Linked DNA regions of Neodiprion lecontei. The protein of the gene in region 2 purifies or fractionates together with the protein of the main gene of each other region. This does not show direct contact. Links are inferred from orthologs where the notes say so. Each region holds a gene or a part of one and is shown on either strand. Other genes may lie near its edges.

Region 1 (7,623 bases), on a different chromosome or scaffold from region 2:
CATAAATCTAGCTTTGACAAGCTAAATGTCAGGTGATAAATACACCGTTGCCGATACGTCGGAAAGTAATGATGATTCTATAACGGTTTTACAATGAGAAATAATTTAATAATAAGTGGTTTGTAATAAAAATAAGACTCTTGTAAGAAATAGCTATGGCGTATATCATGTTGTAATCGTAATATTTCACGTGAAATAATCGATTTGTCAATTGTCGGTAAACTTAATGGAATTGACTGTCATGTCTATTTGACCACCGCGATAACTGCCACGTTTTTTTTTTGTTTTTTCATGACGGAACGATTTCCCCCTGGTGTGTTTCAGGTCCAGATTTGCTCTTTCTCCCCATGAGCCTCGGAAACCTTTCTGTTAAAATAAAACAAGATAATTTCGGTTATTACACGTCACATTTAACACTTCACTTGACGTAACGATTTTACATGGTGAACAGGATTTCATGATAATTTCAAGTTTTTCGGGTTTGTGTTACGAACAGTGAAAAATGTAAAAATTACCTTTAGAAAAACAGAAATGAATGATCTTGTACGTATTCGAATTTCGCAAGATATTGCCGAGTTTAAAGTCACTCGCAGAATTTAGATCAAACGGAATTCTTGAATTCTCATGTCTGGACACCATGTATTTATTATAAATTTTACTAAGATATCATGAAAGTACAAACAAGTCCTACAAGTCCGAAACTAATTGGAAAGACGAAAATTTAGTATCAGAGTTTCCAATTCCGTGCTTGACGCATATGAGCCTGATTTTGTGTCAGATTAACGTCATGCCAAATTCTTTGTTTACGTATAGAATTCTACAAAGTCACCACTGAATTCAGAACCAAACGATGTGCTTTTTTTTGAATATCAAGAATTTATAAAAATTCGACAAATGTAATGATTCTATTTAAAAAAAAAAAAAAAAAAAAACTCACTTGTGAATTACCGTACCAATTACAGGCTTTTTCATACATCCATGAGTCTTATGTTGAGCGATTACCTTATCTTTAAAAACTCCTATAATCAATCGTCAAAAGTGATTTTCTTATTTTGAGCGGGTGCATCTCCAAATGAATTTCTTTTCTCAAAACCACCCCCTCTGCCGCCCCTGAAGCCCCCACCTCTTCCACCGCCTCGGCCACCTTCGTCACCTCCCCAAGATTTTCTAAAATCACCTCCCCCTCGTCCACCACCGCCTCTGCCTCCATCTCCGAAACCTCCTCTGCCACCCCCTCCTCGGCCACCGCCTCTTCCTCCTCGGTCACCCCAGCTACCTCTACCCCCCCTGAAACCTCCGCGATCACCACCTCTCCCACCCCTGAAGCCTCCACGACCACCTCTATCGCCACCCCTTCCTCCGCGGAAACCTAAACCGCCTCTTCCGCCCCTGAAGTTACCGTTATTTGGGGTATGGGCACATTCCTCACCCTCTTCCTAAAACAAGAGAGAAACACAAGGTCAAGCAATCTGAAAGTTGATATCATTTGTCCGAGCACTGCCCTTTCTCGGCCACTGACACGAGACAGGCACCTGGAAAAATTCAGGATAATGCATGGAAACATGAGCGCAAACAATATCAGGTGGCAATAAGGCTTTCGAATTTGGTAGCCAAGTCCAAGATTCAGAACTAAACAATCGTCGGTTACGATAAACAATATGAGTATATACACTTTTCTGGTTACTTGAATTATCAGGACAAAGTCGTATAATTTTTTTTTTCAACAGATCAATCCTCAACTTTCATGAAAGAGTATGGGAGTGACCTTGTGTTTCTCATTTGTTTTCATACTCATTTGTTTCCGAGCATTTACCTTAGCTTCAAATGCATTACTCCCCAATCGTGGATCCACTTCGATCTCGTCATCCTTTACGCGTCTGAATGGTGTATTTTTCTGGTTCACAGAATGAAAGTAAAAGGTAAGTATATCATTGATGGTGGGCTCAAATGGAGCCATGAAAAATTAGTGCAATTTGTGACATTAATGATAGTGAAGTACTCTGTTAAAAGATATGAATACACAAAAACAAAGTAAACAACAAAGGAACTCCACGAATATTGGTGGTTGTAAATATTTTTCTGTACCTACATCTTTAACATTAGTTTTCAATTCGTCTACAAATACTGCTTCAATTAGGGAACATATAAGCGCTAGGGAAAAAGAGGATTACTGCTCAAATAAAAAATTTCATGCTTCAATTTTTGTTTTTAAAAGGTTGCGGGGACTAAATTTTCTATATTTAAATTTATGGATAAAATAAATGATATTGATGTCCAGAACTGTGTAAAACAGTTTCAGTGTACTATTGAGGGCAAATTTGATGATACAAGATAAAAATTGCTAGGTTTGCAACTAATAGTTACCTTGTCCCCATTTACATTGTTCCCAGCCTTTACAAAATTGCTATATTTGTCCTTTTGTTTTTTTGCAACTTGTTTTGCTTCTGTATCATCTTCATCGTCTTCATCGTTATCGTTATTTTGGTGTTTTCTTTTTTTGGACTCAGCTGGAGTAATTTTAGGTTTTGGCGTTTCCTCTTCATCGCTATCCTCAGAACTGGATGTTTCCTCAGCAACAGCTTTGGGGGCAACTTGCTTAGATGCAGGTTTCTCATCCTCTGTAGACTCATCAGAGTCATCACTGGACTCTTTCTTAGCTACTTGTTTGACAACAGCTTTAGCTGGTGTGGATTTTACAACAGCTTTCTGCACTGGTTTCTCAACTTCTGATGAATCATCAGAATCGTCACTGGATGATTCTTGTTTTGCTGCAGGTTTAGTTGGAAGTGCTGCAAACTTTTTTTTTGGTGGTTCCTCATCGCTGCTGCTATCATCACTTGAGGACTCTTTAGCCTGCCTAACGACAAGTTTGGTAGCTTTATTCGCAGGAGTGACTGGTTTAGGTGCAGGTTTCTCGTCTTCAGATGAATCCGAATCTTCGCTACTCGATTTTGCTTTCACAGCTGCCTTAGCTACCACCTTAGCAGCTGGGGACACAGTGGGCTCATCATCGTCGGAAGAGTCGTCTGAAGATTCTTCTTTTTTAGCTGCTGAACTTACAACCTTTATAGGAGTAGCCTTTACTACAGGTGTAACTTTGCTTGGAGTCTTTGCTGCCGGTTTTTCGTCTTCTGATGAATCATCCGAATCATCGCTAGAAGTCTCTGTTTTTGCGACTGGTTTTGCCACAGGTTTAGCGACGGGCTTGGCGCCAGCTTTAGCTGCAGGTTTGGAGCTTGATTTAACAGCTGGTTCGTCATCGCTACTATCATCACTATCGTCCGAGGATTCTTGTTTCGCTGCAGCTACTTTTGCAGGGATTACTTTAGGTCCAGCTTTGGCCATAGGTTTAGACACCACTTGTGTTTTGGAATTTTCTTCAGAATCTGAAGAATCGTCGCTGGAAGAAGCTTTTTTGGCATTTGGCTTAGCTGGGGTCAGTTTTGTTTTTGAAGAAATTGTTTGAGCCGGAGCTTCGTCCGACGAGCTGTCATCTGAACTTGATTCTTTTGCGGCAGGTGTTAATTTAGCTACAGGTTTAGGCGGGGATACTTTGACGGCTGGTTTTTCATCTTCGCTAGAAGACTCTTCTGATGAACTTTCTTGCTTTTTGATTTCTGGCTTTTTTGTTACTGGCGCTTTGCCGTTAACTATTGGCACTTTTTTAGGCACCTCATCTTCGCTCTCCGAACTTGAATCTGAACTGCTGTTTGTCTTTTGTGCTTTAACATTAACTTTTTTCGATGAATTCTTTTGAAAATGCTGTATTACTTGCAGTATTGTTGGAGAGCCTTTTGCAAGCTCAGGCTGAAATTAAAATCGTTCAAAATTTGTTTAGAATAAATTTTCAATTTGATCAAAGTACTGAGAAATCCTAGCCATTTAATTCCAATTCACACTGCATACGACACACATTCTTTTTAATGTGTGGGGGATTCCAGCACATTCGGATCGCAATTCTGCGCATGGGTCACTGATTTTGGCAGCATTTCAGATTTTGATTCTTGGCGAACCCAAAACAACTATTCTAGGGTTATACGGCCTGATGCTGAATGGTCCACGAAATATTGACTTTTCAAAATTTGAAAATAACCATTCATTCGATGCAAGGTGATCTTTGAACATGAATATATTGGCTCCCTGACGTTAAAAGATTATTTTCAAAACTAAAAAGAGTGGTTGCACTCCAGCAGGCGATAAAAGAAATTAAATAATTAAAAAAAACTAAGAAAAAAAAAGCACCCTTCTATAAACTTGAGGATCTCTTAAGTATTTAGTGGAATTTTCAAGTAGAAAATTATGCCCTTCTAGTTTAAAAATCAAAATCAAAACCTCTCGGAATATCTCGCAATTAAAAACTGTCCTTAAATATTTATCAATTTCACAGTTTTAAAGATAAATCCTTTGCACTCGCAAATCAGTTGCGAAAGTATTCTACCAGCATCAGGGAGACAAGATATACATGCTCAAAGATAGATCCGTTGTATCAACTAATTGTGTTTTTTTAAACATTAAACCGTTAACCTCTCGCAAACCATTCGAGGTCCCGTAATTCTGGAACAGTTGTTGTAGGTCAGCCAAAAACTCAAAATCTCCGATGACTCGAATGGATGAACTGAAACCCCCTATATACGAATATTTATATATATTTATAAAAGAAGTTTGATTTCTAAGTATGTACTCGTTTCATCTTAAGTACATGGAATGTGAAGACAAATACTTCATTTAAAAATCTACCACGTACATAATATGTGTATATATTTTTTGTATTCATCGCTATAATATACACAAATCATCAGCGCATAAAACATTTGTACATGGTTATGTTATGTCGCAAATGGAATAAGTATTCAATTTCTATTTGTCACGTAAAACATGGGTTTGCAATATTTTAGGTTACAATGTAACTGTAGAATTAATACAAATATTGAAATATTATTGCAATTATTTTTAAACAACTATATCAAGTGCACGAAGAGTGAAAATTGGCAATTATACAGTGTTAATTTTAGGAATCTCTAAGAAGTACAATATTGAAGGTATATTAGCTGTACTGAAATCAGTACCTATTTAGAGATAAATTAAGTAATAACGATGAATGACACCGTGATTGAAAAAAGATACAGGTGAAAACACTCCCAATGCTAATTGGCAATAAACTGCTTACGTGAGTAAACACGTTTCACATTCAGTCAAGCAGGTTCGAATTTATTTCTCATATGTGACATGGGAGGTTAGAAAATCTTGAGTCTCGTATTCAAGCTTCGTGAAAGAAGATCGAAAAGACATGTGTTACGGAGTACATTTTAATGAGAGAAATAACGAGACTCGTGTGGATGAAATATTGTGCTTGGTTTAATTGCTTTATAAGAAGCCGTTTCGATTTCGAAATTATCCACGTGGTGCGGCTATCGAGGCTGCCAATTATCGGCCGCGGTATATCGTATAGAATATAGTCACGCAAGGGTAAAATACATCAATTCTTTTCTGAAGCTTACCGCTTTTGTTTTTTTCTGAAAGACTTTCGCCAGGGATGTGTCCTTCTTCAATAAATAATCATAAACGAGCGCGGAGATCGTAGGATCGTCTATGGAGGCCATGATGGACGCGTGCGAAGAGACGGCGTACTTCGGAGCGCATTGAAATCGGCCGCTAGCCATAAGACAGATACGCTATACAAGATCACCATATCACCTACCATTTACCACGCTACGTTTCGGTGCTACCTCGAACGTCACACTTGCGGCGTGCTCGAGAACTTACTTTATCGACTGAAGTTGTCGCCATATAGAGTGTCTCAGCTGCAAGTGATCAAACTGATAGGGGTTACAGAGGAAGTCGAACTCATATAGCCGAACTGAGTAAATTAACCGAAAGAACATGTATCCGAAGTCATTCGCAAGATACGACAGGTTAAAAAATACCCGCTAAGCGCCGGCATGTAGACAACTGAGTACACAGTAGGCAGCCGTTAGTGGTCATGTTGATCGTTCGAAACGCACGTTTAATTTGCGTCTCGAAAATCAGTTATTGAAAAAAAACCGTTGATCATATGATTGTATAAATAATATTATTTATGTCATTCTAAATATTTCTAAATATGTCCTGTGAGAAAAAGACTTTTTCCCGCGTCTCTTTAGCTCTTTAATTGAAAAACCATGAATTGACGTTGTTACAAACGTTTTGCACGCGATAGTTGTTGGTTATGAAGTACTTTGTTACCGACGTGTTTAGTTACTCGGTTAATATTACGTGAAACTACTGATACCCCCAATCCCTTCCAGAGCCGCTGAATCGTTACGAAAAATAGCTCAGGGTTGAGTCTTTATACATCACATAGGTATCACGGAATATTAACGCGGGAAAAAAGAAGATAGTCTTGTATCTATGTAAAATACAATCATCTTATATTAAACTTGATGCAAACAGGACATATATTATTTATTTAAATTACTCTCATCAGATTTGCGTATGCATAACTTTGCATTTTTTTTTTAGCCTGAATTAATCTTTTGATTGAGATGACCTGCTGAAGGAATCCATCATTATGAAAGCGCATCTTTTCAAGTTCAGAGTTAGTTAAATGTTGCGTAACAATATACAAAATGCATAATTCATCACTACCATATCTATATTGATTCGCTTAACCATATTTCACACTGATAAACTTTCTGGTCTCTGCAAGGTAGTTCACATTGCCAAATGTATATTAAATTTTCAGTTCCGCACTGCAATCAGTTAGCTTTGTCGAGAAGATCTTGACAAGTATGACACCATCTCCTACATGATTTTTTTGAGCATCAAGTTTCATGACAGGCTCTGGAAGAAATGAATCTTGATTGCCTTTGACCTCTAGCTCTGTGGTTCTTTTTTTCGGCTTTATAATAGAATTATTTAATGGTAAAGTTGTGAATGTCAAGTAGGGAAGGTTGGGGCAAGACGGCCCCCCAAAGCCGGTTATTACTCGTGGCTTTCAACCATCAAGTCAGTTAACTTTTGACCTATTTCGAACAAATCCATGGACATTTTGATGAAACTCGGAAAAAAAACTTTAATTGAAGAAATTAATTAATTAAAAAAAAATTATTATTTTCAAATGCTGCTAGTGGCTCATTTTACCCTACAAGTAGTCTACTTAGTAGACAATCAGCCTAAAAATGAATAAGTACATATTCTTCATAATTTGACTTTAAAAATGTAAATAAATCTATTTTTTAGAATTTTTGGCTGGTCCATTTTGCCCGAGGTATCTCGCGTAGGGTTACAAATGAGCTAATATATCAAAATCCCGATAATTTGAAAAAAAAAAAAAATTTTTTTTGACCAAATTTTTGGAGGGGGCCTTCTTGTCCTAGAGGGGCCGTCTTGCCCCACCCTCCCCTACTGAAATTATAAATTACCTTGGATTAGTGGTTTATGAAAAAGCAAGCGTAGCCTCACTGTTTTCCAATTTTAGGAAGTGAGTTTCATAAAAATACAAGCAAGCCATTGATTCGTTGAAAACCTTAGGAAATATCCATGTTATTACTCGTCACTTTTTGAAAAATTATGTTCAATAATGATAGATTGAAAGAACTATTCATACCATAATGGCTGCCTTCATGATCATTTCGAACACATTGA
Region 2 (4,782 bases):
TCTCATTTAATGTTTGCACTTTCTAATACGTACTATACAGATATATATGCTATATATATATTATATCAAATGCATTGATCTCACTCTCAGATTTCATATTTTAGAAGCTTTTCATTTCAGTGCATTGAAACCAATTCGATGCAATTTGTGTGTGGTACATAATTTACTAAATCCAGATTAAATCAGGATTCAATTTGAATTACAAATACAATAGAGATAGAATTAAAATCAGATGTTAAAAATTAGTTAGGCTCTAAGGCACATATATAAATGAAATAAATAAATAAATAAATAACTAAATAATTGAATAAAATAATATAAAAATCAACAGCATATTTTATACTTTTTAAATATTATATTGTAACCAGATATATAATTATCCATAAACGATAATTAAGGGTACGGAAAATTTTAACAATAAATTTCAGATTATTCGATGCATCATAGTTTTATTTTGTTATACCTCGATCGCTCTGTTTCATCTTGTCAAAACTTTTTCACGGAAAGAATGTTGACTTATAATTAGGTAAAAATACACGTGGGGTAGTTAATAATAGATTTATTAAAAAATAGATACACATTTTCTTTTCTCTGAATTATAATAGTATGCAACACAGCAGTACTGCTTATAAGAACAGGAAAACTTATGTATTCAAAATAATATTCTAGTATGCTCATTTATCAAACGTACTTTATAAATCCTTTAGCACAATTATAATATGGAAACGGATTTCAACAATACAAGAATAATTCTACTTATTATACAACTCTTACTTTTTCACACACTGCACGAAATTAACCTTCATGATCAAATTGTACAAAATTTTTTTGTAGAAATGTACACATGTATCCGATATTTAAATATTTCATACGTGGTTGGAAAAGGGTGGCAAAAAAATAAAAAAAAAAAAAAAATAAAACAACTATTGGCCTAGGAGCAATGTATGTCGCTGCAGAGATATCCAAGTTAGCGATTATACATTTGTAGTGTAGTAGAGTAACAATAGCATTACTGCGTCGACAATTATCTTGTCACATATGGAGGAATAGTTAATCGTCTGGCATCGATTTCTTCTTCTTCTTCTTTTTCTTCTTTTCACTGGATGGACCCTCAACCTGTTCTGCGATTTCTTCCTCAGTTACGTCCGTCTTTACCTTAGATTTTTTCTGTTTCTTCTTCTTTGCTGATTCTGTAACTGTGAATAAATAGTGATGTTATTAATGAACATTTTTCAACGATACGACAATTTTCCAACTCCTACACCTATTTGCATTTAACATAGATAATTCTAATTCTACCTTCAACTTCCTGCTCCGGTTCTTCGACTTCTACAGCAGCAATATCTTCTTCTTCAGTTTCCTGCTTGACTTTTTTCTTCTGTTTCTTTGAGCTACCAGGAGTTCCGGCACCTTCCTGTTCCCCAACGCTATCCCTGACTTTCTTTTTTTTCTGTGGCACTTCGGCTGCGTCTTCTGCAACTGTTTCGATCTCTTCGATCAATGGCTTTTTATCATCGATCTGTGAATGCCTTCTCTTGCTGCTCGGTATAGTCGAGTCTGCAGCAGTAGGGTACTGCTTCACCTCTGAAGACGTGTGATACTTCTCAAACTTTGATTTGGCCTTCCCAGTACCACTGATCCTGCGCAGATTTCCTTCTTCAAGTATTCTCAACCTTGCCTCCAGTTTTGCTCTGTGTTCAGCTCCTAGGTCAAAGTTGCCATCCTCACCTAGAGCGTCTACCCTTGTGGCCAGCGACGCCTTTGCTGCAAGCATCCTCGACATTTTTCCCTTGTTCTTCGTCGACGATTGACCGACCAACTGAGCGTGATAGATCAATCCATACTTGGGGGTGTCTCGTTTGGTTTTTAGAGCCCTAAAAAGTGCCTTTTCTGCACCAAGAATTTGCACCGTGGAGGCGGGATGTTTCGCAAGATTGATGAGCGATCCAGCATGGGAAATTAGCCGAGCACCGACTAGTTCGCCGACAAGAACCGTCAGGTTCGGAGCCATAGCCATCATCCTGGTCTTGAGGTAGTCGTAAAGCTGTGTCCTGTAGCTGGATATCTCTATAACTTGATCACAGAGGTGTTGGATGTTGAGAATATCGTCGTCCGATATTTCAGTCCCCATTGATATCTCTGCCGCTTCTTTAACCTTTTCTTCTACATCCTCGGGCAGCGTATCAGATAAATCTGAGTTCCCCGTGTTTTCCCTGGTGCCGATAATCTTCACTGTCTTTACAAACGCGACGTTATCAGTCACGAGTTTTCCTAGTTCAGGAAAATGCCAGCCGTACCATTCTCGGCATCGCATTACGTAGTTGTTCAATTCCTTGTCTAAATCGTCTAGTAAACAAACCGCTTGGACGATCATTGTGTCGATTTTATCAGGTGAGAATTTCAACTTGTATCTTGAAAGGCTGTGAGCTAGACCAAGCGCCATGGCAGTCATTTCTTTCTTCGGCAGGCCGGTCAACAGCGAATCCATCTGACTTCGTATACACCTCATCAATTCCTGAACGGCAGTGTTACTGATGCAGGAAAGGCTCAGTTTATCCTTTATCGCATTTCCTAACTTTGCATCTGCCACTGCCAGTTGCTCCTGAACCTCGGCGCAATACTTCTTCAGCATCTTTTTCAATGACTTGCTTACTTTTCCTTCGACCGCTGCCGTTGTTGCTGCCAGAGCTTCGGTCGTATCCGCAAACTTTTCGAAATGCTTGAGCTTGACGCTGAGGAAAATATGAAAAATAAATATCGTATTTATAATCAAACTATAAAGAATTACCAAAGATTAATCAATTTTCATGTTTGCTGAGTACGCGATACTTACATTCTGCTAGCAGCTTCTGGGGTCTCAAAGTCATGATAGAGGTTTTCTGTTTCTGATAGTTTCTTTTCGTCGAGTAGCTATAAAAAAAAATTACGAACGTGAGGATGAAAACAATCTCGATGAGTATATAATTTTTATTACAACGTTTTCACTCCGATAGCCACGTGCGTCCCTGTGGCCGAACTTGAGTTTTGGTTATGTTCCGATAAAATGCAACTCCGATAATAGCTTACCTTAAATATGGCGTACCCCGCCGGGGTTTCAAATAAAACCAGCATCTTTGCCTGGTTTACACGCTCTTCTGACGGTTTTCAACTGAAAATATTATTCCCAAAAATTATAACCACGCGACCGCCGGCATAAAACACACCGCGGAATGGAAAGGAGACAGCCCGAGCTGTGGTATGAACACTGTATCCGGTCTTCGTCTTCCAAAATCTCAGAGCATTCACTACTGGAGGGAGCCACCCATCCCAAGTATTGATCTCGCGAAAAATGCAGCCGAAGTGATGAGAGAGAGAGAGAGAAAGAAAGATATACGTATCTTTCTCACTCTGCATTTGATTGGCTGAGAGGAGTCGTATCAGCCAATCAGGAGTAGGGCGAGAGAGACAGATTATAAGCAACATATATAACTCTCTCTATTACTCCTATTACGCTACACTTTCTGCACATGCGAAGCTATCTCCAGTAGTATATGCTTGAAATTTAAAACCCGGATCAACCTCCTGAACTAACTACCTACGATCTAAGTATACCAATTACCGAAGCTTAGTAGCTGCTCGCCAATATATCCACGATCGGTAAAAAGAATGTACAACTCGACATTGACTTAAAAATTTCCACACTAGTTGGATGGAATTCCAGAAGAGAGCGCCACAGTCGCCCGCCGCCGAGTCACGTGACCGTGCGTTCGTCTCGACTGATTACGTTTAAATTGTTGGAGTAATTTCGCCCACGAGACCGAGTGGATAATTATTCGTAACAAATTTTCTTCCCGACTCGTCGGCGGGTCTGTGTGATTGGTGCCGGTATTATTCCTGTTGTAATTCGTCGATTTAGTAGGCCGGTGACCGCGGAGACAAAGTGTTCGTTTCGTCGTGTCATTGTAAGTCGTATCATGCTTCATCGTTCGCGACGCAGTAAGTATTGTTTGAGCCGCAAAGCGTCGTTTTGATTCTCCGGTTCTCTTTTCCCCGTACGGATGAAATTAAGCATCTGAATTGAACAATGAACAACGCGGAATAATCGTGAGACGGGAATGATGACCGAAAATCATGGAACCCTAAAACGACGCTGCACGGTCAAATCGACCTCAGCGTCCTTCTTTCCCGCGACAAAGAGTGCAGTGTCGGTTCAATCGTGATCGGTAATCCTGTGTTGTTTACAAACATAGATTAGATCTCAGATCTCGGGTCAGCGGGCGGTGGTGTTTACAACGTGAAAAATTACCAGTCGCTTAATACCCGGCATACGGATGCCGTCGACGCGTTGTGAGTTAATACGACCAATTTCCGAAGTGCTCGACCTGTCCATATTGCCCGGTATCACCTGACCTTCATTTTTTTCTGCTTGTTCTTCAGGAGACTCGTCGAGATGCCGAAGACGAGGTAAGGAAACTCCTGTAAGGCATGTTACTAATTTGACGGCTGCATTTTTGCGCTGTTCGTTATTTACATATTACGTCAATCAACGCCAGGGACTGTGTACGGTATCTTGCCATTTTTTAAACAAAATTACACTAAAAGTTGTCCTGAAATGTTTTCCAAAAAATCGCTGAAAATTTCAGTGAAAAATATTAAAGCTTCATCGCTGAGTCAAGAATATTCTCCAAGTATAAAACAAGGCCCTTTTTTCAGACAAATATCTGCCGGAGCGGTAATTCGCGAGCAACTAAATATTCGACGCGCACAATTTACCGATAAAAATGCATAGCGGTTGAGCGCGTC
Region 3 (3,742 bases), about 28 Mb from region 2:
AAAATTCTAGTGTACTACATACCTGTGATTTTTCTAACAATATATACAAAATAGTTTTTCAATGCCTTGGAGTATTGAGGCCTATTTTACACAAATACGTTAACATTTAAGAGCTGTGGGTATGCAAATTTTTTTTTATCGACCTTAATCGTAATTGCTTTAATCGTTGTTTTATTTCACAGAGTATAATCTCGTTTACTTAACTTTGCTTCAGTCCATATTAATTATTAATTTCGAATCAAATATATGTTACGTTTTATGTTGTATTTAGAACGTTTTATCCATTTTTATTTCCCCTATGTAATAAACAGCATCCATTGGAATACATAGTAATAGTGTATAGATGAGCAGACACGAACAGTAGCACCGTCTTGTTTCAAATATGAGTCCAGGTTTTTGATACTGCATATGACTGGAAGACTCTATTGACTTATATCCAGATGTCCCTTATTTAGGTATTATTATAATATGATTTCTGATACGTAGTTTTGAAATCCAAAATCATCTTATATTTGAACCAATACAGTATTTATTTAAAAATTACAACCAACCTTCAGTGTTGTCATTTTCGTTTGCGAACAACAGTTGCCATTAATTCTAGATGTTTCTTTTTCTTTGTAGTGAAATGCATGAATTATTCCAAGTTTGAAAAGTCATATTCATGAAAGGCCGAGCCATGAGCAAAGTTACTGATCACATGACTGGTAGAGCGACATTACGAAAGGTAGTTAAAAGATTATGTTTTTTGTTACAAAGTTTCATTTATTTACTGACCTTCCGAATTCACAAAAATGTTTTGTAAATGGTTGCGGCAGATGGTATTGAAAGAAATGGGTATAATATTCAAATATTGGTAATAATACAATTATTTGTAGTGCTACAATATGTATGTTATACATATACATATGCATATGCATATAAATCAGTTTCATTTTCGTTGAAATAATGTCTGGTAGACTTCCTCGGACGAAGAAGCAAAACAGGATTGCGTAGAAAAATATGCGAATTTATTCCGCGGTGTTTTAATTTTTAGAATCAGGTACTCCCGGAGGTCTTTTATTACAGCCTTTACACTAATAGCCGTTCGATTTCTTGTTGGATAGCCAAAATCTGTGGCTTAAGCTGAGATCCTTCATTTACTGTTACCGAGCAAGCAACCACGGGTCTGGAAACTCCGCAAGCTCGTCCGAGTGCTTGCTTGCTACGAACAAAGACATAGGGAACATTCTTGTCTTCGCAGAGTAGCGGAAGGTGGAGTAGAATCTCCAGAGGTTCTGCATCTGCAGCCATCACGATAAACTCTGATAGACCTCGATTAAGCGTCTTTGTAGCTTCGTTTGCTCCTTTGCGAAGCTGCTTGTAGTTCATTGCTTGTTGAACCAAATTCAAGATCTTTGCTGTCAGAGTAGCATCGGCCAGCGGGTATGCTTTCGGGTTCACCTGATCGGTCTGTAAAATATTCATTTATTAAATCAAACGCGGTTGTGGTCAATTCTATTCGCTCGTTTGCAGCTCTTCGTACGGTTCACTGCGCGTCCACGTGCTAAACGACATAACCTCTTGTCGATAGCGCGTTGACTGTGTAATTTGTACTGGATGTAGTTAATTCGGTAACACGTGACTGGGACTTACCATTTTTTAAATATATCTGTTACTGTGGAATGAAATGAGGTATCGAAATACCCGGTTATAACCTCTCGGCGATAAATTGTAGAAATCGCTTCACTGAGGAACCTGGAACTTTGCCGAACGTTGCCGCGTTTCTATTACGTATATTCGTCGTTGACTGAACTACGCATGCACAGGAAGTATTGGGAAATATAAGCATAGAGTATCAGTCTACAGTGTGTTGCTTTCATCTGTAAAGGATCGCGTCACTGCTCCCGCAGCATATCGCCGTCCTGAACTGAAACTACGCAGTGCACTCGTCTGCGGCATGATACCTTTTGAATCGAAGCTTTTAAATGCCTTCTTAACCGGTTGAAACGAGTTTGAATCCCTGATTTGAATGGTTAGTAAATGGACACGCGATTGATTTTCGTTTGTGCTTTCATAATGGTGTGAAATGAAGAAAAAAGTCTTAGTTGCAGATCTTGGAAAATATATAAAAAATATTGTAGTACTATCAAAATTGTAGTACTTTAAGAGATTTTTCGAGTGTATGAAAAACATGTAAAACGATATTTAATTTCACAAGATGCATGACAAAAATTTGTACCAATTCTTAATGAATTTCTAAAAAAAAAAACAAACGGACGCGTCAACGTTTGAATGATAAAATTTCTAACAAATTTTTACAGGACTGAAAAGAGATTTCTGATCGAACTAACCCCATATGGAATGTGCACAAGAACGTTATTCTCGAGGAGCTTTGACCTTGGTACACCGTATGTATGTACATTATTTTACCATAGTCTATGAATGAACTTTACTCCGACCACTCGTAGAGCTTCTTAAATTATTGAATTCTAAATGTACACGTATGTATGGACAATATGCGTCTGGTTCCCTACGGTTCAAGATAAAAAACGACGTGGGTGTATATGCATCAATAAACACGGACTAAAGTTGAGAAAACCAGATAGCATTTTAGACTGTACTCAACAATCGTATTATATCGTGAAGAATACCCTCTTCAGTCTCTCTAGAACTTTTCACTTATGCAAATTCGCATTCTCACAAATATTGACGGTTGAATGTACACTGAGGGTAAGAAATTCTTGAATCAACAAAATAGATATTGTTGGTGTCCATTAACTTCAATTTAGTATTCCTTATTTGGTTTAAATACGATGACTTCAATTCAACAATTTCGATTTAGTTAGTTTGTCAAAATGATTCAGTCAAGTGAATTCCTTAATTTAAAAAAAAAGCCTTTCTTATCGCGATCGAGTGAAGTATTGACTCGAGTGAACTTTTTCACGTGTTTCCGAAATTGAGTCAACTAAATACCAGTTCATATATTTGAAGTTTATGTATTGTTCCTCCAACTCGTATGTTTGCTGACAGAAAAAGTTAGATACTTCAAGTAAAATAAGTATATGAATCTAGCAAACAGAACATTTACATCGATAAATGCCACACTTTGTTGATCCAACCGGAGCTTAGTTGGCGTAACTGGTTGAATCAGTTGCACTAATTTGTTTACGAGGTAAAAGGAAAACCACATGCTTTGAAACACGCAGACAATATATTCATCGTTAACGTCAGTATACTAGTATTATAAGCGTAGTATTATAAGTAGCTTCAGAGATAGTTACAAAACCGGGTAGTCGGCCAAGAATTTGGTTACGGATAACCTAGGACAAATTAGACATCAAGCCTATAACAATTAAAGGGAACGTTATGCCATTATCCGACTCATCGAAATTGATATTGACGACGCGTAATTTAAAACTACTGAACATGTAAGGTTTATGTATGTATACTTCCTCATATTCGGCAATAATCTTTCGAGTGTGCCCTAGTAATGTCAAATTATCAAGTAAATTCCATAAAATTTAGAGTCAACAAAATTATAAAAAACATCATTCGAAGAATACATTTTGTGCATTTGAATAATTCTAATGTTCAGTCAATTCAATTTTTGTAACAACAAATTTTATTACTTCAACCATTGAACTCTTGACTCAACAAAACATGAATTTGACTCAACAAGCTCAATTTTTTTTTATTTCATATTTTTAAAACAAAACGATTGAGGTGCGTTCCATCACATTTTTAGTCATTACAATCGCAGATT

What was found. The genes of interacting proteins can lie anywhere in the genome.
Region 1: the proteins of nucleolar protein 58 (region 2) and nucleolar protein dao-5 fractionate together in Homo sapiens (co-fractionation; 3 studies listed by BioGRID, with this or other methods). This does not show direct contact. The link is inferred for Neodiprion lecontei from reciprocal best matches to the Homo sapiens genes NOP58 and NOLC1.
Region 3: the proteins of nucleolar protein 58 (region 2) and NHP2-like protein 1 homolog fractionate together in Homo sapiens (co-fractionation; 3 studies listed by BioGRID and IntAct, with this or other methods). This does not show direct contact. The link is inferred for Neodiprion lecontei from reciprocal best matches to the Homo sapiens genes NOP58 and SNU13.

What each region holds. Positions count from the first base shown.
Region 1 is NC_060260.1:24,040,099-24,047,721, reverse strand, and holds nucleolar protein dao-5, read right to left. Parts: upstream 6,007-7,623; 5' UTR 5,661-6,006; coding exon 5,499-5,660; intron 3,808-5,498; coding exon 2,365-3,807; intron 1,895-2,364; coding exon 1,814-1,894; intron 1,437-1,813; coding exon 1,026-1,436; 3' UTR 1,003-1,025; exon of another isoform or gene 938-1,002; intron 367-937; downstream 1-366. UniProt on the Homo sapiens protein: Nucleolar protein that acts as a regulator of RNA polymerase I by connecting RNA polymerase I with enzymes responsible for ribosomal processing and modification.
Region 2 is NC_060261.1:2,781,323-2,786,104, forward strand, and holds nucleolar protein 58, read right to left. Parts: upstream 3,272-4,782; 5' UTR 3,112-3,271; coding exon 3,067-3,111; intron 2,911-3,066; coding exon 2,834-2,910; intron 2,733-2,833; coding exon 1,300-2,732; intron 1,197-1,299; coding exon 1,051-1,196; 3' UTR 545-1,050; downstream 1-544. UniProt on the Homo sapiens protein: Required for the biogenesis of box C/D snoRNAs such as U3, U8 and U14 snoRNAs. Part of the small subunit (SSU) processome, first precursor of the small eukaryotic ribosomal subunit.
Region 3 is NC_060261.1:30,700,217-30,703,958, forward strand, and holds NHP2-like protein 1 homolog, read right to left. Parts: upstream 1,824-3,742; 5' UTR 1,636-1,823; coding exon 1,633-1,635; intron 1,450-1,632; coding exon 1,069-1,449; 3' UTR 507-1,068; downstream 1-506.